Linked DNA regions of Oreochromis niloticus. The main gene of each other region encodes a partner of the protein of the gene in region 3 in a complex. Links are inferred from orthologs where the notes say so. Each region holds a gene or a part of one and is shown on either strand. Other genes may lie near its edges.

What was found.
Region 1: dhx16 (region 3) and bud13 share a complex: the UniProt entries of both Homo sapiens proteins name them as parts of the minor spliceosome. The link is inferred for Oreochromis niloticus from reciprocal best matches to the Homo sapiens genes DHX16 and BUD13.
Region 2: dhx16 (region 3) and cwc22 share a complex: the UniProt entries of both Homo sapiens proteins name them as parts of the minor spliceosome. The link is inferred for Oreochromis niloticus from reciprocal best matches to the Homo sapiens genes DHX16 and CWC22.

Annotation. Positions count from the first base shown.
Region 1 is NC_031975.2:13,772,272-13,780,349, reverse strand, and holds the start of bud13 (BUD13 homolog), read right to left. Parts: upstream 3,015-8,078; 5' UTR 2,975-3,014; coding exon 2,832-2,974; intron 2,685-2,831; coding exon 2,594-2,684; intron 2,338-2,593; coding exon 2,253-2,337; intron 2,164-2,252; coding exon 1,603-2,163; intron 1,407-1,602; coding exon 1,102-1,406; intron 1,008-1,101; coding exon 899-1,007; intron 731-898; coding exon 592-730; intron 483-591; coding exon 301-482; intron 166-300; coding exon 84-165; intron 1-83. Other genes in the region: ribosomal L1 domain-containing protein CG13096, read left to right, coding at 7,359-7,407, 7,920-8,078. UniProt on the Homo sapiens protein: Involved in pre-mRNA splicing as component of the activated spliceosome. As a component of the minor spliceosome, involved in the splicing of U12-type introns in pre-mRNAs.
Region 2 is NC_031987.2:24,052,898-24,060,754, reverse strand, and holds the start of cwc22 (pre-mRNA-splicing factor CWC22 homolog), read right to left. Parts: upstream 3,001-7,857; 5' UTR 2,907-3,000; intron 2,185-2,906; 5' UTR 2,183-2,184; coding exon 2,128-2,182; intron 1,138-2,127; coding exon 917-1,137; intron 1-916. UniProt on the Homo sapiens protein: Required for pre-mRNA splicing as component of the spliceosome. As a component of the minor spliceosome, involved in the splicing of U12-type introns in pre-mRNAs. Promotes exon-junction complex (EJC) assembly.
Region 3 is NC_031976.2:36,413,798-36,421,456, forward strand, and holds the start of dhx16 (pre-mRNA-splicing factor ATP-dependent RNA helicase DHX16), read right to left. Parts: upstream 3,070-7,659; 5' UTR 2,793-3,069; intron 1-2,792. Other genes in the region: lysosomal thioesterase PPT2, read left to right, coding at 5,064-5,354, 7,554-7,659. UniProt on the Homo sapiens protein: Required for pre-mRNA splicing as a component of the spliceosome. Contributes to pre-mRNA splicing after spliceosome formation and prior to the first transesterification reaction.

The DNA.
Region 1 (8,078 bases), on a different chromosome or scaffold from region 3:
GATGTGTGTATTAAAAACATTCAATATTAAACTACAAATCTGTCCTCAACAGTTTTCCTCTGTCACTGATGTACAAACTCTACCTGTCAACTCCGTCCCAGCGGTACCCCGGTGGAATATTGAACCGGTTTGGAGGTGGAGCAGGGCCTTTATATTGAGGTTTATCTACAAAAAATCAAAACAAAACATACAAATAAATAAAAATACAAACAGTAGCAAAAACAAGACTGCTGTTATTTAAAAACTTCTTACAAGGATTGACCTGGTGAAATAAAATAAAACATATGTAATGTTAAACACCTTGTGTTTTTGTGCCACGGTCCTTTTTACGCCTGAGCATTGCAGCCATAGGATCGCCTTCTCTTTCCTGTTCTCTCAACATGCGGTCAAGATCCTCATCGTCACGGTGACGTGCCAGTGGCTTCTGGGCTTCGTGCAGCGCGTCCTCAAGTTTCTGCTGATGCATCTGGCTCTGTGCCAACCTATACATACATTTTAACATAAACCATTGAACCACATGATGCTTTTATAATCTTTTATGTGGATACAATCTCATAAACTGTGATATTTGAAATGATCATGCACATTTACCCTTTTCCCCACTGAGCGTATTTCTCGTCTCTTGCCGCTTTTTCTCCAGCTTTCTTCTTCTGTTCATCTCTCTCTGAATCCAGATCCCTCCTTTTGCCACTTTTGTCTCTGAAAATCGTCTGAGCATTACGTGATTCATCTGGTCATAGGGGATGAATGGGTAAGTATGTAGAAACGACATTATTTAATTTTAGAACTAAATAAAATACGACAATATAAATGATAAGCTGAAATGAGACGCAAAGCTGTATGAAACTCTTCCATCAATGGGTGTAAAAAAATCTTAAGAGAGAAAAGTTGAGGAAACCTTCAAGTGGCTGATTGTGTTTCTCTCTACGTCTGTTCTCCTCTTGCTCTTTCCTTAAAATGTCCACAGAAACCAGGCCTGCCTTTCCACCAGATAGCATCCTTTGGCCCTGGTTATAAAATAAAAAGACAATGAAAAAAAAGAAAGAAATCTGAGCGAAATCAGATTTTACATTACTCTTTGTTCCAACACAGTCTGCTTACCTGTGACTGGCCTGGCCTACGAGGAGGTGACAAATCTCCATCCGAGTCCCTTCCACTCGGTGGCCGCACCCTGGGTGGAGACTGGTCAGAGTCTGAGCCCCGTTTAGTTTTTGAGGGCCTTCTTGGAGGAGATTGGTCGGAGTCAGAGGCATTTCCCTTTAGGGGCCTTTTCCTCGGGGGAGACGGATCCGAGTCTGAATCATGTCTATTCTGACCCTTCTTAGCCACCGCTGACCGATGAGGATCCGGTGAGCGTTTTTTACTTAACAAGGATGAGCTGAGCTTGCTTTTGCTGGAGGCTGAATCTGACAAAGACACAGTTAATTTGTTAATTTTCATTTTGTAATGACTTTTGAACAAAAATTAAAGATTTATTATTAGATCAAGGTATGCCTTAAAAAGAAATTTCCATACAAAACTCATGTTAAATGGGCCTTTGCTTTTTACTTTTATTCATATGCCACACCAGATTCCAATTTACAATTTAATTGGATCACTCACCTTTACTTTGCAATTTTTCTGACTTTTCTGAACATTGTCTCGGTGGTGACAAGTCTGGGGAGTCATGACGTCTTCTCCTGGGAGGAGAGACATCCGGAGAGTCGTGACGTCTTCTCCTGGGAGGAGAGACATCTGGAGAGTCATGACGTCTTCTCCTGGGAAGAGAGACATCCGGAGAGTCGTGACGTCTTCTCCTGGGAGGAGAGACATCCGGAGAGTCCTTCCGACTTTTCCTTGGAGGAGAGATGTCTGGAGAGTCATGCCGACGTCTCCTTGGAGGAGAGATGTCTGGAGAGTCATGCCGATGTCTCCTTGGAGGAGAGACATCCGGAGAGTCCTTCCGACTTTTCCTTGGAGGAGAGATGTCTGGAGAGTCATGCCGACGTCTCCTTGGAGGCGAGACATCTGGAGAGTCATGCCGGGTCTTTTTGACAGGAGAATCCCGTCCTCTTCTCTTTGAAGACAACTCTGGTGAGTCATGTCGACCTCTGCTTAATGACCCAGCCTCTGTATTTTGATGTTCTTTTCCATTTCCTTCCTCTGTGTCGTCATTTTGATCCACTTTTAGGAGAGGAAGTAAAAGTATAGTAAACAACATTCTTAACTTAATATTGCACAAATCCCCCCTACTTCTGTGACTTCTTATTTACCTCCAATTACTTTCCATCTGTTGCTGGTCCTAAAAACTTCCATCTGTTTCACTTCCTCGGGTCGATCATCAATCACCTCAGCAATCTGAACAGTTAACAAAAGATTAAGTTTTAAAACAGAACTTGGTGACATAACAAAAATGATCCAAACTACAAGCATACCCATTTAATACAATAGATTAAATTTCAGCATTAAGTAGTGTCCCAAATCATCAGGCGCATGTTTATTGTTTAAAAGAAACCCTCCTATACAGGAGCGCATATAGCATATGTTTAATCCGTAATCATTTCAACTGAATGAATGGACAGGTTAGCCAGGTAGCTAGCTAACGTCATCTTACCACTGGAGCTTCTTCTTCATCCTCTTCCTCAATCTCCGTCTGCTGTGTGACCATCTGTTTCCAATCTATGTCATCGTCCACTATTTTAAGTCTTGAATCAAAGAAGTAAACACGAGTAAGTTATTACATTAGGCAGTGAGGAAAACAGCGCTGCACAACACCAGAGTCGTTAACTAGCTTAACGGCTCCACAGCTAAATCTGCAGCAAAAATCGACTAAAACGTCGCCAGCGGCTCACCCCTTCTCGGGAACCTTGCGACGCTTCTTTTTTGCCTTTCCTTTAGATTTCAGGGAATCATCGTCGGCTGATAAATAACGTTTTAGGTACTCAGCCTTAGAGAGTTCCTGTCCGTTCTTACTGCCTGTGGAAGCAGCCATCATTATGTTGTCGGAAACTACGGGTGGCGCTGAGGTTCAAGAATGCCAGTTCGGATAGCGGATGCAAGGGGTAGGCTGAGATTGAGGCAGGCAGGCAAGCAAGCATGCCTAAATTGTAAAGTGTAAACTATAGTTAGCAAATAAAATAATACAAATAAATTAATACAAATAAATCATGAAAGGGTTTTGAGGAATTTACCATTGTTAACTCCAATTTCACTCCAGGTGCAGTGCTGTGAAAGTATTTATGTGAAGGGGGAAATAAACCTGTTCAAACTTACCTGTCCCTGTGTAAAACAGTAATTGCCCTGTTGTTAAATCATTAATTAATTTACTGAAATTGGGTTAACTGTGATAAACCACATTTTTTGCTGAGGTGCAAAAGTGAGAATGAAATAAGAGAACACCAATAGTTTTAATTGATATCAGTAAGAGGAAGTTAAACTATCACCAAAAAATTGTCAGTCATGTGTTGGCATTGTTTCTACGTCATCAAAATAATATTGGTCCAGGTTTACTGACACTTACTGACACCGTCACATTATCAATGCTGGTCATCATGCCCTTTTGCTGCTAAAGTATTTATACCTACTTTTCTATACCTTCTTCTATATTCTTCTATATCCTTCTTCTATATTCTGTTTTTTTTCTTGTTATTGTTATTGTTATTGTTATTGTTATTGTTACCAGCATTATTATACAGATGCAACACCAACACAAGGACATCAGATACACTGTCACTCATCATGAAAAACAACATGCCAGAGTCATGCCATGGCCTCAACATAAAAGACAATACCTCTTACAAATACCTCTGTCATGAGAGTGATAAACACACAGTGCAGCATTATAGATTATAGATTAAGTTACTAAGCTGCTGATCTTTTGTCTTGATGCATGCTCAGTCATCCAGGTAATGGAATCCCAAAAAGTGGATTCTCTTCATTTGGATGTAACGTTTTCAGTGTTAGAAACATTTCATCACTCATCCAAGTGACTTCTTCAGTCTCAACTGACTGCAGGTTTCCCCAATCTTAAAAACCGTACCTTTGCAGAATTACTAAAACTAGCATCACTGGCAAACAGTGGGCTGTGATGTAGTTTCTTGATCATTAACCATTTATGACTGTCACTGCTCAGTGACAGAAATACTTATGAGCCCCTGAAACAAGCCCAGGAAGTGGTAACAGGAAGAGGGTGATAGATTGTCTGAAGCAGTTAGAAAAAGCCAATGCTATTGACCGGACCTCATACCACAGGCTATACCCAGGGACAGTCTATATGGTGTACCTTTAGGACCAATTGTCTGTATAATCAACTCGGTCACCTATAACACCTTAAAGCTTCTGGCTTCGATCCTCAACCCGCTGGTAGGCAACTCTAAACACCACATCCAGAACAGTTAGTTTTGGTCATTGTGCAAGGGTACTGTTTATTCATGTTACAGCAACTCATGAGTGAATGAACACGGTGCAATAAAAGTACTTTTAGAAGTACATTTTTCCAAACACTGGTGGTGTCAAATTTGTAAGGAAAATGTGGGTTGAGCACGAGAGTTGAGTATGTGGGTTGTGGCCAATGTTCCCTCTAATTTTTCATGTGTCTGAGCGAACACACAAACTCCCTGAGCGATCCCTTGGATCACTGTGAGCGACATTAGATGTGTGCACTGTGGTCACGCCAGCATTGAATCCATCCAAGTTACATGGTTTATTAAAATTAAAATAAAAAAAATAAAAATAAAATTACAGCATTTACATTTCTGTTAGACTACTTTTAATTAACTGCTTTAGACCAGTTACAATGAAAGTTTAAAAAAAAAAAATCTTGTTCATGACCTGTGTAGTATATTAACACTATTGGAAGTAAAAATAACTTGAACTCCAATTTTGAAAACACAACTTTCTTTCTTTCTTTCTTTTTAAAAAAAAAAAAAAAAAACTCTGACTTGTATTATGAGTCTGTGGTCCGTGAGAGAGTCCTGTCTGCAAAATACAGTATATAATGACCAATGTTGGGCAAATAATTATATAGTTACTTCTTCAAAAAAGCAACTGAGTTTTGCAAACAAGTTTTTTTGCAGCTGTTTACCTAAAAATGCTGCCAAGGCGGTTTTTAAAACAAACATTTCAAAATACTTATAGAACAATCAGGTGTTCTGTATCAAATCTGATGCCACACAAATTATTTGTGCCACTCCAAAAATTAATTTCTGTCCACTATCAGATAAAGGAGAAAAACAGCCTGATACCTGCAGGCCTGACAACAGGAGATGTATCACTCCTGTAACACCTGTAACATTCAGCAGTCGCCTCATTGTTCTGACACACACAACAAAACTATTGACTACACTACACACTAACTACACACTAACTACACAAGATTTGCGCTAAACGTCTCAAATCTCTCACATCTCAAAACACCGCCGTCACTCCTAAAACTTCCCCCCGTTTCTTAACAACTAAATGCCATGTTTTGATTGGTCGACATGGTACATTTTGCGACCAATGGGAAAGGGTGTGGGGTGTTTTGGTTTCGTCTTTGCTCACAGGCGGAGAGTGCTTTCGAGCGTTTTCCTTAGAAAACGCCGTTTTTACCGTTTCTTCCCGCAGTAAATATAAACAACGATAGTATTCAGGAAGAAAACCAAACATTGCATTTTTTTTTTTTTTTATCATAACTCTGGTTTTACGTGGCCTATCAACACAATTTAAAAACTGGTATAAAGTCCACACTTTTTCCGTCAATTGTTCCGTCTGTCCTGCTCACATCTCCAATGGTTGTACACGTTGTCATTAACGTGGCTTAACTCCACATCAGCCACGCTTTGCTAGCTAAAACACCGGTGTCGGCACATATTTACTTTAATTTCAATTCAGGTTAGAATTTTTTTTGTGTGCGCAACGCAGATTTTCTCTGCGCAGAGACCGTGCCAACAGTGCGCAATTGCGCACGTGCGCAGCTTAGAGGGAACATTGGTTGCGGCCATGAAAAATTTGCCAATAGCAAACAGTTTATTTTGCTATTGACACTTGTTGGGTGTCATTTATTGAATTCTGAAAAAACAAGCCACATCCACAATTTAATATTTTATTCTTTTAACAAATAGGGGCGTCACTAACATGTGGAAGAACAATACGCAGCCACAACAGCCTGGCATTTCAACCTCATGCTGGTCACCAGGTTGGCCACACACTGCAACTCAGCCAGTGTGTGACCAAGTGCTGTGTTGGTCACTGTGTTAAATAGGGTTGTGTCCTTGTTTTATTTTGTTACATTTTTGGAAGAACCAAACTGCAGGTTCAGAGAGTGTTTCATTTTGCAACAACTGTATGTCATTGATATCTATGATCAACTACTTATTCCAAGACAAAACCAAGTTCCCAAAAGATATACTAAAATATATTCTGTAGATACCATCCAAGATGTTGGGTGTAAATACCCCCTTTACGAAGCTCTACCAGAGTATTGCACTCAAGCTTGTATCTTTTTCCGACTTCTACAAGTTCATTTTTAGATTAAATTTAACCTCAAGGCCCAAACACAGTCATTTTATCCTGTTTTCCTACCATCAAAATATGTATAAATACATTACACAGCACATTTTGACACTCAGACTGTTGAATGCTTTTATTTTCAAACTTTTCAATCCAGGAAAGCCAAATGGAAAATATAAAGTATAGATTTTATATGAACAACAGAGTCTGCGTCTAACTAATCAAAAGGTTTTTAAGCCATGGAGCAGTTCAGCAAACATGTAAAGCAGCAAAAATACACTTCAGGTAGAAAAGTGTTTTCAATAATTAATTACTGATGGAAGACTCACTCTAGTTTACTTGAATTAATTTATTTTAATACAGCAAGAAAGGGGAAAAAATCACGAACCCGAGGAATACTTTAAACTTTATGCAAAACACTCATGGGGTGGTGTGAACATAAACCAAAAAGCCAACAAATGGTATCCACTACCTGAAAAATGGCGCCATCTTGTGGCCTCTATCTGTCACTGTAATTCCTTCAAAGCTTTGTGGAAAATGCTTCACCTGTAAAAGTTCCGTAGTCACCACTGACAGTTTTGTTTACCTGCAGGACGTTCAGCGGCGTCATTCGATGACGTCACAGGAGAGTCAGAACGCAAAAGTAGCAAGTAAACCTATGACGTTCATCTCTGCATCATTATATTTGGATGTAATTGGTGGAGAAATATCAGTTAACACTTCGCAGCGTTCCTCGCAGCATTCACTTGGCTTACTCTACATTTACATCGTGTTTTTAAAAAGCTTGTTAAAAAGTTTTCAAACAATTTTAAAGGACTTTGGACAGTCTGAAAGTTTTAAACCAGTCAGCTTAAAAGTTTGACAACTGTAGTTTCCTCCAGACTGTTTTCATGGATCAAATGGAGAGTGGAGACGGACAGCATAACGACCCCATTCGAAGTAAGAGCGTGATTTCTCTTTTCAGTTTTCAGATGGATTATCTGACAGTTTGTTATTACACATAACAATTTCCAAAGTTTTAAGGCCTCAGTCACACAAGCCCAGAGTCTGGTCTGTGACCCCTGAAAACCTCCGTGTGGTACAGTGTATTTCCTGGTTCACTGGGAATACACATATTTCTCTTTTAATCCACTTTGCAAAGAGTTGCTTTGCAAAGTGGATTATTTAGACTTTGCATTACATATTATATATAATTATAACAATCCTAATTAATTAGTTTAATAGTGCATTACTACAGTGAGGGCTGAGGAAAACATTGAAATAGTGACATTTATTAGCTGCTGCTCATCGACTAAAGCCTTTTTTTAAATTGAAGGAGCAATTACACTATAATAATTTTAATATATGTCTGTTTGTATGTTCCCTGTGTAGTTGCACAAATTGGAATTTGTGGACAGTTTTGGCATCATATGAATGATAACAATAAATTATTTCTTTATTTATTGTTGTAGGGGTACCAATCCCTCAGCTGCTTCTTTTACTGGAGCAACATGAAGAAATCGATGCAATTCGCCCGATGATCCGCTGGCTGCAGGTTGGTCTTTCACGTGGGGTCTTGACTGAAGAAAGCCTCCTTGTTTTGAATCAAGTGATTCTTCAACTGCCGCAAG
Region 2 (7,857 bases), on a different chromosome or scaffold from region 3:
ATCAAGTAAAAGCCTGTATGCACCTGGGGAGCTCGTGTCTAAGTTGACAGTAATGGAAACAAAGTCCTCTTTGATTTGTGATTCTGTCAGTCAACAAGTTAAATCTTTATTCAGTGTCTTCTTCACTGGGTGCACTCATAAATCAGGCCAGCTGACATTAAACATGCTACTGTGTCTTACATCGGTGCCTCAAGCTTAAACTGGGTCCTGTTCTCATGGTAACCATCTCTTCAGACCAAGCAGTTTTTCACACCAGCTGTCCAGAACTGCAGCCTGAATAATCTACTGTGCAATGTGCACACTAATGCACAGCCACATTTTCAAATGCAACATAATCATGTCTTAAAAGCACAACATGAAAAAACACTAAGTAAATACGCTTCTTCTTCAGGTACTTTATTCAAAACTATTCTGACATTCAAGATCATTTTTAGGCAAGAATAGTAACAAAATGCTTCAGTTCACATTTCCACACAAAAATACATCAACTGAATGAATACTGTCAGTTCCTGAACTCTTCTTTGGACAGTATCTAAAACATAACATGGATCACTAAACTCCAGTTACCAATGCATCTGACTGCATTAACTTTTTAAGATTTTGGTGTTTCTGAATTTCTTGTTTTGGCCGGATCATTTTTATTAATACTGTGAATCTCAACTATTGTTCGGTATATATTGGGGAAATCAACTTACTTACTCCACCTACTATTAATGGCATTTCTCACTCCAAACTCAACATTTTTGATTGATGAGGAATTATAATATACAATATATATATTTATAAATATAAAAAAAGGCTTTCAGCATATGTTTCACCCTCTGTAACTGTCTGAAAGCATCTGATTCTTCCATTTCTACCGCAGTAGTCTGTACATTATGAAATGTGACAGACTAGTAAAAGCCACATTTCTTACTTTGATCTGAGCCACGCTGCTTCGAATCTTTCTCAGTGCTGAATGATGTTCATCCTCATCACTGCTGCTGGTGCTGTCTGAACTGCTTGAGGATGGGCTCCTGGAGGGCCTGCGGCCCACAGGACTTGGCTGTGGGGACCGTCGCTCATTGGGGCTTCTTTCAACTGAGCCAGCCTGCTGGGGTCTGCCTGATGCTGGACTAGAGTCATTCTCTGAAGGTCCTGCAGAGAGAAAAATAGATCAAGAGCAGTATTAGTATATCCATTCAACATATCCTTCTTCTTCCACTTACTCAATTTAGGGATACTGTGGGGCAGAAGGCAGGGTAGACATCGAACAGGTCACCAGTCTCTCACAGGGCTAACCGGAGACTTATGCTTTGGACTATGACTATTCAATAGCTACGCCATAACCGCAAACTTTGCGAAACTTGTTAACCCATATGCCTGGTGGCCACGTAGGTGAAGGACAGTCAAACAACTAAACAAATAAAATGGACACCAGCTAACCACAAAAACGCTGTTTCTGTTACCATTCATACCGTGCACCCTACAGTGCAACCTAATTACATGTTGCACCAATAGATTCTTCTCATGCATTTCAGGCTACTTTTTCACAGCAGTTTTTGAATTTATCAGTGAGAGAATAACAATCATCATCTCAACATAACAGATAATAATTATAGCATCAATATAAGGACTCACAAATGTCAGCAAATTCCTGAGGAGAAACTGCCAAAACTATTAAAATGGACGTGTGGGAATGTACAAAGAAGATGAAAAACTTGAGACAAATATATTTGCCTTTAAAAAAAACTGACCACTACAAAACTGGAGGGAAAAGGTCCGTGCATTTTATTTGTTTCTATCAACTGGTACTGAATGAAAAACATGTACACAGACCCACACATTAATTTAGACATAATGCACCAGCACAAACACAACACGTAAATTATGTCGTTAGCTCTACAAAGATTCACCGCAGAAATCTAAATCAGGACTAACAGGTGAAAGCACACCAGAGTTCCCAGCAAGGGGTACAAAGAAAATATGCAGAAAGACCCGGCTGCTGGACTCAAACCCAGAACCTTCTTGCTGTGAGGTGACAGCTAACGATTGCAACATCGTATTGCTCAAGTATAACGGATGGAGATTAAAGCAACTCTTATTACAAGAACATTAAGTGTAGGGTTCACAGCAGCATTTACTCACCACTGTTTTCTCTCTGTGCAGGACTGGGACTTCGACTTCTGTCTGCAGAGTCCATACCTGGAAGGGGGGGGGGGGAAGACAACTAAGACATTCACTTTGATAGGTAAAATGCATTTCCACAAACCCCGTTACATTAGGAAAAAAGAAAAAAAAAAAACATGTAAATGAGTTAATAAGATTTAATAACTTTCTGACATGGTTCTCTGACACGATCCACGTATTTCTACGAAGGACTGTTTACAGACTTGTTGATTTGACATTAGTCTGCTCCGGATAAACTTTACATTAAATCACCAATACTCAATGCAGAGCAAAGGATACACTTACTGTTTATTAAGCGTTTTGTGAGTGATTAACGATAAAATAAGAGGGATGATGACTTCCTGGTAATGTTTAATCGCCGAACAGAGTCAAAAATTATCATTGCCAACGGACGGAAGAGGTAACAATATGGTAACTGGGCATTTCCTGAGGTAAATATTACCAAATGATCAAGTTTGTACGTCTTAATAGCCGAATAAACATATTTTGGGAAGGTTCTTGAAACAGCAACACCACGCGTTACTAAAACGTCTTTTCAAATCAACTCCTCAGTTTTATCGCCATGTGTGTTAAGCTGAGCTAAAGTTAGCTTGTGTGCTAATGCTGTCTCGGCTATTGCGATCTAAGCTTCTCGCTACTAATTGCTGTCACTAAAACCTTTAAGATTTTATTTCCTTCGTACTTTGACAGAAGGTCTGTCGAGCTAAATTGCTTTGTTTGGGTTTTAATGTCCTTACCATACAATTTCCCGGCTTTCCTTAAATCACTGTCGTTCGTCTGGCGGAAAACTTCCTATAATAACCAACATTACTTCCGGGTGACAGATCGCTTCCGGATTTCACAATAAACGCAGTTTGTGAAGTTTGGTTTACTGTTTTTGTTGTTATTTTTTCTTTTCCAGTTTAACTTTATTTCAGAATTTAATATTTATAAATAAAGTTGTAACACAAGAAAAAAAGTGTATAAAATAAAGTAAAACAAACACACAGGGCCTTGTGTACACATGAAATTTGTTCATTTATTGTTTCATTCTGGGTTTTTTTTATTTTCAAGGTCCTCAGTTGTGGTTTAAAAGGGAATATTGAGCTTCAAAACAAAGCTTTATTTATCTAAATAAATCTAAATATCTAAATAAATAAATAAATCTTAGTTTATTTACTTAATCACTCAAAGTTTAGAGTTGCATATGTGAAAATTTTCACTTAGCATCCTGAAGTTTTTACTTACTTCTGAGTGCCTTGAAGTTTTGGGATGCTGAGCAAGTGGGAATTTTCAAAATTTCCAGATACCATACACAAAATTTATTTGACTAATCAACCCAAAGGTTTGACTTTATATTTTAAAAACACTTTTTTTTTTTTTTAAATTTGTTTTTACATGAATACCTTATTTGTTAAATCTTTGAACATAGAGAGGCACAGAAAGACTTTCAGCTGTATGGGAGGACACATTAAATCACTGTTTAGTTTTTTAGAACAGTTATGGAAGAACATTCAGGAAAAATAATGTTGTCATATGGTTTACTATATCATAATACCAAGTGTGTAGTAATGTGAAGTTCTGTGAGTAAGCCCCATTTCCATTAGTAATACTTCTTTTTTTGTGTGTGTAGGTTTAAAGGTAGGAAAAGCACTGGCCAGTTATACTGAGAGCTTGAAAACAAGACAACTGTAAACAGTTGACTTTTTTCTTAGAATTCTGGAAAAGAAGAAAAAAAAAAAAGACCTGCGCACTTTTTTTCCCAGTGGCCCTAATCCTCTTCCGTACAATCCCATTAGCTTATTTTTAAAATATTTGAAGGAAGTTTATATTCCCCAGCACTGCAGGCCTTCAGACATCAAAACGATTTGAGCCTAAACGGAGGGATTAATAACACATAAAATACAACCCTGTTGGTGTATCCATCACTCCATTGCATACAGAGATGAAAGAGGCAAAAACATATAGTTTCTGCGTTATTTATAGCAGTGTGCTCGGGTTTAAAAGGCCCCCGACAATGACGTAGTCTTCACGGTACTTCAGCATCTAGCTAGCACTACTAAAGAGGAGCATAAAAGGAAGAACGTGTTGCGGCAGGTCAGTTCAAACGCAAAATTTCTAAAAGCTCAACACACAAACACACACTTGCTAATGGTAAAACTGGGAGAAAAGAGAAAAGAATAAGAGTTAAGTTCACTCAGAGATGGAGAACAATGTAAGGAAGAGAGGACAGGAAGAATACCAAAAGGCAAGTACTGCTCAGGGGTATTTGATAAACTGGAAATTTTAAATTTTGTTGTATTTATCCGCGACACCTTAAAGGCCGGTCCGTGAAAATATTGTCGGGCATAAACCGGTCCGTGGCGCAAAAAAGGTTGGGGACCGCTGCCTTGGACCACTGTGAGACATCAGACGTGTGCACTGTGGTCACGCCAGCATCTAATCCATCCAAGTTACATGGTTTATTAAAATAATCAAATTACAGCATTTACATTTATGTTAGACTACTTTTAATTAACTGCTTTAGCCCACTTACAATGAAAATTTAAAAAATCTTGTTCATGACCTGTGTAGTATGTTAACACTATTGGAAGTAAAAATAACTTGAACTCCAATTTTGAAAACACAACTTTCTTTCTTTTCTTTTTTTTCATAAAGCTCTGACTTGTATTATGAGTCTGTGGTCTGGGAGAGAGTCCTATAACTCTCTGTCTGCAAAATACAGTATATAATGACCAATGTTGGGCAATTAATTATATAGTTACTACTTCAAAAAAGTAACTCGGTTTGGCAAACAACAAAGTTTTTTGCAGCTATTTATTTTTTTTAATGCAGCCAAGGCGTTTTTTTAAATAAACATTTCAAACTATTTACAGAACAATCAGCTGTTCTGCATCAAATCTGATGCCACACAAATTATTTGCGCCACTCCAAAAAATAATTTCTGTCCAATATGAGATAAAGGAGAACAACAGCCTGATACCTGCAGGCCTGACAACAGGAGCTGTATCACTGCTGTAACACCTGTAACATTCAGCAGTCGCCTCATTGTTCTGACACACACAACAAAACTATTGACTACACTACACACTGACTACACACTAACTACACAAGATTTGCGCTAAACGTCTCAAATCTCTCACATCTCAGAACACCGCCGTCACTCCTAAAACTCCCCCCGTTTCTTAACAACTAGATGCCACGTTGGCAAATCATTTTTTGATTGGTCGACATGGTACATTTTTTGACCAATAGGAAAGGGTGGGGGGTTTTTTGGTTTTGTTTTTGCTCACAGGCGGAGAGTGCTTTCGAGCGTTTTCCTTATAAAACGCCGTTTTTACCATTTCTTCCCGCAGTAAATATAAACAACGATAGTATTCAGGAAGAAAACCAAACATTGCAGATATTTTTATCATAACTCTGGTTTTACGTGGCCTATCAACACAATTTAAAAACTGGTATAAAGTCCGTCAATTGTTCCGTCTGTCCTGCTCACATCTCCAATGGTTGTACACGTTGTCATTAATGTGGCTTCTCTGCACATCAGCCACGCCGCTTTGCTAGCTAAAACACCGGTGTCGGCACATAAGGACGCTGTCATAGCCTGTCAACAACGTTGATTGGCTGCGTATATACGAATGTGAATCGCATTATTGGCTGGACTATAGGATAAGGTGGCATCGTTCTAATCCCATACAGGAGCAGCCAGTCACTTACTGACTAACACTGCAAAACAGAATTGTTAAAGTTTTAATTTTAATTTCAATTCAGGTTAGATTTTTTTTGTGCGCAACGCAGATTTTCTGTGCGCAGAGACCGTGCCAGCAGTGCGCAATTGCGCACGTGCGCAGCTTAGAGGGAACATTGGTTTCCACACCACTGGAGTCGTTTTACCTCTCTTTTCAACCAACGGCATTCTTTCTTCAGCAGCCATTATCCTCTCCTCTCCAAATAACTTCTGCTTAGCTTTCCGAGCTTCCCTCGGGTCCTCTTAATTGTTGTGACGCGTGTTCGAAACGCAGAGAGGTGCGCTCGATTTGCCACACGGAGCAGCGCGAGAGTAAAGCACGAGGGAGGTGCTAATAATCGGCTCAGTCATTTTTAATGATCGTTGAAAACCCAGATCGTAATCGAGATTAAAATTCGATTAACTGAGCAGCCCTAATGCTTCTTTTCTTCCTGCTGTTTTTATACAACCATATAAACTGGCGACACAACAGAAGCTCGATTCCAGATGTGCTTATAGCGATGGTGGTATAGTGGTAAGCATAGCTGCCTTCCAAGCAGTTGACCCGGGTTCGATTCCCGGCCATCGCAGCTTCGTTTTGTGACAGAGCAGTTAGGGAGGAAAAGAAACCTATTTTATATCAGAAAGAAGATGATATATAGTATTCAATAAATGGGTATTTAAAGTAAAAACAATTTATTGTAAAAAGATTTTATTGATTTTCTTTTACTTTACTAGAAGTTGAATCAGTACTTTTTAAACAAAACTATTTGTACTTCTACTTAAGTAAATCCTCTCAATATCACCATATGCTGTGTTTCCTCCTTTGAGAAGCTCTGCTCAGCCTTTACTGGAGTCTCCTCCAATTGTTTCTTATTTGTGGGTCTTTATGCATTTAGTTTTGTATTTAATAACTAAATAGCACACTCTGCTGGGCTGAGATCAGGTGACTGACTTGACCATTGAAGAATAAGGTGGAAAAAGGGTGTTTCACAAAGTGTGCAGAAACCTGATGATCTGTGAGTAATACTTCTTACTGGCCAGTAATATTGAGAGCTTAAAAAGAAGGCAATTTGACTTCTTTAGATATTTTCAGGATGTTTCACTTATCATCCAAGAGGCTTTGTCATTCATAGAACAACTGGTGCAGAGTCCCAGGTGACATGCACCACTAGGGAGGGCTGTTCCCTTGGAGAAGTCATAACCCACAAAGATGGTCGATCATAGTGGACATACATGGCCTCATTTACTGTTCTCTTAAACCAATTGTCTTTGTCCAAAATGTGAACACTGGCATCCTGGGAAGCGTGTCCTTTCTTAGGTATTGCAGGTGTGCCACTGAGTCTTGTCCTCCCGTGTTGCATTTGTGGACTGGCTTGCAGCATCCACTGTTTAAGTCTCTTCACATTTAAGTGACATACAGCTCACATGATGGTGGGGTGGGGCAAGGTCTCACAGAGGTTTCAGTTGTCGGCCAGGTGATGGGAATGACTCATGTTTTCACACCTTTGCTCATGTGACAACTCACATGATCAATAGTAGGTTAACATCCCTAGGAAGTACATCAATTTTTATACACAGCACCCATTTTCAGTCTCAAATTAAACAGACTAACATCATTTTAGATGATGTTATGTTTAGGAATCCTTTGCAGTCAATGACTACTTGAAGTCAAGAACCCTTGGACATCAGAGGTGGGAAGTAACGAAATACAAATACTTAGTTACTGTACTTAAGTAGAATTTTCAGGTACCTACACTTTGAGTTTTTATTTTTCTGATAACTTATAACTTTTACTCCTTAAATTTTAACATGGATATCTGTACTTTTTACTCCTTTCATTTTCAAAGCAGGCCTGTTACCTTATGTTTAACATATTTGAGGGAAGTTTAAATTCCCCAGCACTGCAGGCCTGAAGACATCAAAGCGATTTGAGCCTAAACGCCTGGTCGCAGCTTGTACACAAAGAAAATCTCCCGAAG
Region 3 (7,659 bases):
ATACTGCCCATGGTTTTATCTCATACTTCCCGGGTTTACTTGGGATGTTCTGTTGGACTGGACAGAGTCCTCTGAAGGGGACTAGGTGCTCATACAGTCACATCAGTACCTGGATCGTACATCAACAGCAGGAGAAACACCCACTTGTTCCATACACCTCAAATGGGAGCACGTTTCTGTCATGAACAACGATCTTCTATTGTGTCTTTATCATGAAATGATATCACTTTTGAGATTCTATGATTATTCTTGTTTCAGTCACTGTAGCATGAAAACTGCCCTAAAAGACTCAGGATGTCACAAACTGGCCGTAGTGACTTTACTGGATGCACGGCAGTAAGAATCAACATACCCACATATGCCTACAGCTGCATTCAATCCATTTTTCTTCATCTCTTGTTGCCCCTCCTTGTTTGTCATTGATGCATCCATTGACATGTCAAAGTTAAAAAGCATAATACATGGTGTATAATGCTTTCAGTACTTGAGTAGAAAAGCAATCTAAGGATTTTATGTCATCAGTATGGGACCTGGCATATGTGCTTGTAGGGCTGCTCAATTAATCGAATTTTAATCTAGATTACGATCTGGGCTTTCAACGATCATTAAAAATGACTGAGCCGATTATTAGCACCTCCCTCGTGCTTTACTCTCGCGCTGCTCCGTGTGGCAAATCGAGCGCACCTCTCTGCGTTTCGAACACCGTCACAACAATTAAGAGGACCCGAGGGAAGCTTGGAAAGCTCGGAAAGCTAAGCAGAAGTTATTTGGAGAGGAGAGGATAACGGCTGCTGAAGAAAGAATGCCGTTGGTTGAAAAGAGAGGTAAAACGACTTCAGTGGTGTGGAAACATTATGGGTTCGCGGAGTCAGACCTGGATCAAATATTGTGCAGTATTTTGAAGTTCACTAAACATAGATGTTTACATTTTGCATTTATTTTTTATATTGCAAACATTTGCACTGTAATCAGTATTTGCACACTATTTTATACTATTTTTTGACAATCTTTAAAGCCATTATTCAATACATTGTTATTGTTAAATAAATATCGTCAAATAATCGAGATTATCATTTTTGCCATAATCGAGCAGCCCTATGTGCTTGGACTATGGTAGATTGTCTTTCTCTGTGACGCATGAGAGAGTCATGCATCGTCTGTCACTGGGAAGGACAGAAGATCAACATTACTGCAAATATTGATATGTCTCAGCTGACTCCTCTTTCTTGCTTGATTCTTTGTCTTCATCATAATTGAAATAGAAGATGTGTAGTCCTCTGACACATCTTCTAGTTTCACATTCTGAAAATTCAAGAAACTTCAAGAAGCCCAGTCACTTTCTTTCCAAGCTCCTCACACTACCATGTCCTGGATGCCTGAGAACCTACTTGAACATAGTTCAGATTCTTCATCACTTTTCTTTCACTTCATACACTTCACTTCTGCAGGTAGGTGATGTGGGGTTTCTTCAGAGAAAGGGGAGCGTGTGATCTAAATATTGGCAATATTTTCTTTATCTTTTAACCCTGGATCCTCCTGATCGTTGATTCTTCCTCCTCATTATATTAGAGAACAAGATATGCATTGTTCTACTGGCCATTCCTTTCCACAAGAATATAAAGCACCTTGAGGCGACTGTTGTTGTGATTTAGCACTGTATAAATAAAACTGAATTGAATTGAATGTAGAGCACCTGCCTCCTCATTGTGCTGCCTGTTGTTGTTGTTGTTGTTGTTATGACCATTGCTTGACCCCACACATCAGTGATCCAAAATCAAAGATGTTTGCAAGCAGTATGGTGTGACAATATGGCCCTTCGCAACGCTTTGTATTTTGGGGTCGTTTTTGACCCCCGAGGACAACAGGTGTTTTAAAATCCAATAAAAACCCATAAATAAATCAAATATCATAATATGGACCACACCTGGCCATATGCGTAATTGGGTTTGTTTGTTTTTTTTAAATAAAGGCTAACAGATTTTTACTTTTGACCAGATTCGTTTAAAAGACTCCAGGGCGGGATTTAAATTAGGTTTCAGATCACTGCAACTTAATTTAAAAAAAACTTTGAAATTACTTTATCCTCAATTTTCAAATATGGACAGGATCACTCTGAGAAAGCAAAGGCTTTACTAAACTGTAGAGCTGTATTGAATCCCTTTGTGAAAACACAAAAACAGGCAGCAATGCTATGACTGTTGGAACATCCAGACCAGAACAAAAGTAAAAGCAACTTTATCCGGACTTTTAAATTCTGGGTTTAAGAGGGAGACTTTAGAACCCAGAACATGAAAGAGGTCATAGTGGAGATGCTACACCTCCACACTGAAAGGAGCCAGCCAACATGTCAGCTTCAACTTGGAGGATGCTCCAGGACAGTAAAGATGGAAAAAGGGATGATTTCCCTGCTGCCTTTCCTACATTTAGACCAGGTCCAGTTACAGACCTTCAGCATTAACCTTTGACAATCTGGATTGGATAACCTCTGTGAAAACTAAAGAGTCAGAGCAGTGAGTGGTTTGTTTTTTTTTTTTTGTTTGCAAAACTACTAAATAAAAATATTTTCTCACATTTAGACTTCGCTAAACAAGTTCAAGTTTCCAATAACTTCGCCTTTAATTGCAGATCCGGATTTAGCGTCGTTTTAAACCGCAGTGTTTTGTTCAAGCCGCTGCACCAATACTGTCAGTTTTCATATTACAGTGTAGTTATCCACCCACTATTACACCTGTATTATACAAAGTGTAAGCATTAGAGGAGACACAACACAACCGTCTCTGGAGTCCACTCACCGCTTCTCAAACGCTCTTGTTGTGACAGAAACAGCAGGCTGAGAGTTAGCCGACTGCTAACTCCAGCTACAGATGAGGCGTTAGCTTGAGTTGTAGCGCACAAGTCTCCGGTTCGGACACTTAGCGGACACGTGCATCCTGTCGTAGACACGAAAAACTATTTATCTGTCCTACAACTACCTCACACACACTCATACACTGTAAACTGTTTTGCTGTTTTAGCTTAACGCACGCTAAACTTCCAAACGGAAATACGTCAGGTTACACTAGGGAAGAAGAGCGGGGCTGCATCAGAGGCGCCGGCGCTCACTGCCCCCGTGTGGGCATGTAAAGAACAGCAACACCAGCTAGCAATAAAGCAAACCAAAACATCCAGTTCCGCAAACAGCACAGAAAATAACAGCGTGACATATAACCAGGAGAATAACTTTTACACTTAATAATTCTCTTCTTATTCTTCCACCTGCTCCATACTCTCCATACAGGTCACAATATCATCTGCAGAGTCCTGCCTGATCTCATATGTCAGCCTGTCTTTCCACTTTCATAAGAGATAAGATATATTTAATATATTCTACGACCAAAAATAATACAAAAAAGTAAACAGAGGAAAGTAGAACATGTTATCAGAAGTAGAATCTGTGTAGAAAATGGCGCTGAATACACCAGGCATAGGCTCACATACAGTACTGTCCTGTGTCTTATTAAGATCTTTTGGCTTGTGTGAAGAGCAGTGCTGCACTAGAATTTAACTGTTTTACAAAATGGAAAACACTGACAATAAGGACTTTTTACACAAGGTAAAATATATAACATTACTTAAATAGCTTAAAACAGCACAAGTTTTATCATCAGTATCTACATAGCATCTAAATTTACTTATTATGTGGCACTCTTCAAAAACACATAGGCTACATTATATTACCAGATCATTTTAGCTGATAATTATTTTTTATTTCACTCACCAGCCACTTTTTTAGGTGCACCTGTTCAACTACTTGTTAATGCAGAATTGGGAAATGTGATTTAAGTGATTTTGAATCTGGCATGGCTGTTAATGCCAGATCTGCTTGGATTTTCTCAACAACTGTGTATAGAATTTATTGAGAATTTTCCCAAAAAGAGAAAATATCCAGTGAGCAGCAGCTCTCTGCATGAAAATGTCTTAGAGGAGATTGGCCAGTCTGCTTTGAGCTGATAGGAGGGAAACAGAAACTCAAAAGTAACTAAACTAAGTTACAGCCAGACCAAAATTCTGTGTCAGAAGACCGGACAAACTTTGGACCAATATGAAAGCATGGATCCATCCTGCACTGAATGAACAGATCAGGCTGCTGGTGGTGCTGTTTTGGTGTGGGTGATAATTTTTTGTTACAATCTGTCCTCTTTAACACGAGAAAGGCAAATCGTTTAAACACCACAGCCTTCCTGAATATCTTCTGACAGCTGTTTCCAGCAGGAGAATCATCTTGTCATAAAGCTCAGCTCATCTCAAACTGAAATTTTGAACATAACATGAGTTCATTGTACTTAGATGGCTACGATTTACCAGTTTACATCCAACAGAGCAGCTGTGGGATGCAGTGGAGCAGGAGATGTGCATCATGCATATGCAGCTAAGAAATTCTGCAGACAAAAATCTCTGCTCCTTGAATCCATGTTATGATTTTTAGAGATAATTCACAACCAGAACTCAATTTCCCAATTCTTTTATTGTAAACACAAATCTTTAGGTTCTGGCTTTTAGTTGGTCAACAATTTTAAAGCTTTTTGTTTCTAATCACAATTAAACATGACAAAAACATGCGGCTTTTACACGTGGGACATGATAAGTCAGTATAAAGTTATATTAACTGTGCCATTGATCCACCCCAACTTCCTGCTATTATAATAGCAGTCTAACACACACAATATCACCACCACCCACAGACTGAATACTAAGACAGACAACACATTTAAACAAACAAACGTTCAAGTCACTTGTAACATGAAGTTATTTCAAACACATGAACAGATGACCAGCAACGATGTTAACGTTTGCCTTATAAAGTGCAATTGTGAGTTCATCTAACAGATGAAAATATGCATTTAAAAAACTTTCATTTATTAAAATGCAACGTTTTTTCATTGGGTCAAATTAATTATCATAAAGCCGGGATCACTCGACGGGGTTCAGACCGTTGAATGTTGAAGGGGTGTGATTCTGTAAAAGCGGATGTGGCCTGTGGAAAAAATACATGTGTATAAAGAGGAAGCAGCGCGCGCTCATGTATGGCTGGTTGTCAGTATGAAGAGAGCCACAGTCCCTCATCGGCCGTATTAACGACACCACCTCAGGTCAAAGTCCTCGGGATCATCCACAGCCCCCCCGCACTGCTTCTCACCTGTATCCGGGCGGAGATGAAGTGTCCACGGGTAGCCGTAGGGTCGCATGGCCCGCTGCTGCTGCTGCTGCTGCTGGTCGAAGGTGTTTGCGTGGACAGCTATAAACCAGTCATCATCGTGCATGGCATCTTTGATGGACCACAGCAGTTCCAAAACCTTTCAAGGTTCATAAAGAAGGTAGGACCGCGCACAGCGTGCGACATCTCTAAGCTGTAGAACAACAAGGCTCGAAAACAGCTCCAAATGCGTTAGAACCGCTTTATTTACCACAGGAATTAAAAGTAGGCCAAGTGTATTTCACATTATTTGTGCTTGTGGTCACGTCTTTACTTTGTAGCGCTTTTGTGCAAACTTGTTAATGATACGTGCACAAAGACTCATGGGCCTGTTAATGTTCGATATTAGATTCTAAATGCGGTCCTGCTGTGTCCACGGTTACGTTAGACTTTGGTTTTTCTGTGATGTGTTTCTGGTGGAAGTGTTTAGCTATTAACGGACCGCAGGACTCGGACTCACATAGTGATTAACGTCTCCAGGCCAAGTTCATGTTCAGAGTAGCTGTTCAAATTTAAAACCAGTTTTCCTGCGTTGTCTCTCAAACGGAACTAAACACTGCGTACAAGCATGTTTAGACATTTATTATAAAATAATGAAAATGTGTTATTTAAGAGGCTTGTCCTCATTTGCACACGCAGTGAAAACAAGTTTGTATCATTTTCTCGGTTGACTTTCAGTAACTTTGGGCCAACAAGTGTGCATATTTTTTAAGTAAGCCAACTTGATCAAATATTACAGTTCACAACAGTGATTTTATTTTTTACCATTTAAACCCATAAATAAACTGGTACTCACACAGAGCTTTCCTGTTCTGTTTGAGCACTAAAAACATTTTCAGGTGCTTTTAAACGAACTAACATTCACACTCACACTCTTATGGATGCTGGGATCGAGTCGCCAAGTAGTTGATAGAGAACAATGCTAAAGGGGGGTAAGTCTGATCACTAAGTACTAGTTATTAGTACTTAGTGATCAGACTTAAAGGCTTACTTCTTTGACTCACATTTCAACTTAAAAGACTTTGAAATGATTACTTTTTAAACTGGATTTGCTCTGACTGGAGGTGATTTTGAGTCAAGAGAATGAAGGGTCCACTGTTTATCCTCAGCAAAAGATAGATTGGGTCAAAACAAAACAAACCGAAATGCTTAAGCTGACCTGGCTGAACAGAATGATCCACAGCATCACATTTTGTCTCTAGATAATCTTTTAAAACAATATATTCTCTGGTGTGCAGGTTATCTTTAGCACGGGATGTTCTGACTGTATTCTGTCACCGTAGCAGGCAGATAATGTGCTTACATAAATCATTCTATGCTTGTTATTATTCATCCAAAACCATATAAATTACAGTTGTGCGCTCGATTGTTTGACCCTTTGTAAAGACCAATGAAAAGCCCGCAAAGAGTCTCTTGTAAGTGAGCAATAGGAAGGAATATCTCATTAGTCATGATATTATATCACACGTTCAGTCTGTTCAAGCTGCCTTAAAAGTAATAAATGATTTTATTGAGGCTTTACACAGTAAGAAACACTGTGCAGCCTTTTTCATTGACTTTTCTGAGGCTTTTAACACTGTAGATCATGTGCTATTAAAGCAAAAACTGTGAGTGGATCAAAAATGATCTTTCCAACAGAACTAAGTGTGTGAATGCCGAAGGCATCACCTCGTGCTTCCTTGATGTGGTTGAAGGTGTTCCCCAGGGATCAGTTCTGGGGCCGTTATTCACCTTATATGTTAATAATATGTTAACCCTTTCACACATAGTGGTCACTGCAGTGGACAGCTATCCAAAGGCTGGTTTCTTGTATTTGTGTCAGTGTTGATGGTATACTTGCACATAAAGCACTACATTGGACACTGATGTGTCACTCCATACCCTGCCAGCCACTGGTCCTTTAATGTTACTATAGATGTGTGAGGTGTTTCATTGTAATTATTGTTATTTAACCCTGTCATTCATTAATAAAGTACCTGAATCCACCAAATGTTCAACACTCAAATCAAGAGCTTCTATACTACTTTAGGTTGAAGGCAGAATTTTGTATTTCAAGTAGGAATAAAATACTTAAAATGATATTGGACTTGATAACATATCAGATAAAAACAATGAAGTGAAAATCAGTGAATGGTTTCAAGTTAGCGATTTCTGTTCCTTTGTGATTTTCATTTCCTCAGGATCAGTTTTAATTTCAGAGTTCTGCATTTGAGCACCTGTCTGAAGTTTTATGACAGCTGATGTTTCCCTCTCTGTGCCACTTCTTTGAATCAAAAGGGAAAATTTTTTACTTCCACTTCAATTTCTTTGCACTTCTCAGGTGCATCCAGGCACTGAGGTCACAGTGATTGACTTGTACGACGACCTGTTGAGTCTGCAGCCGCTGTGGAAGCAGGTCCCAGACTTCAGGCAGTCCTTCAACTCCA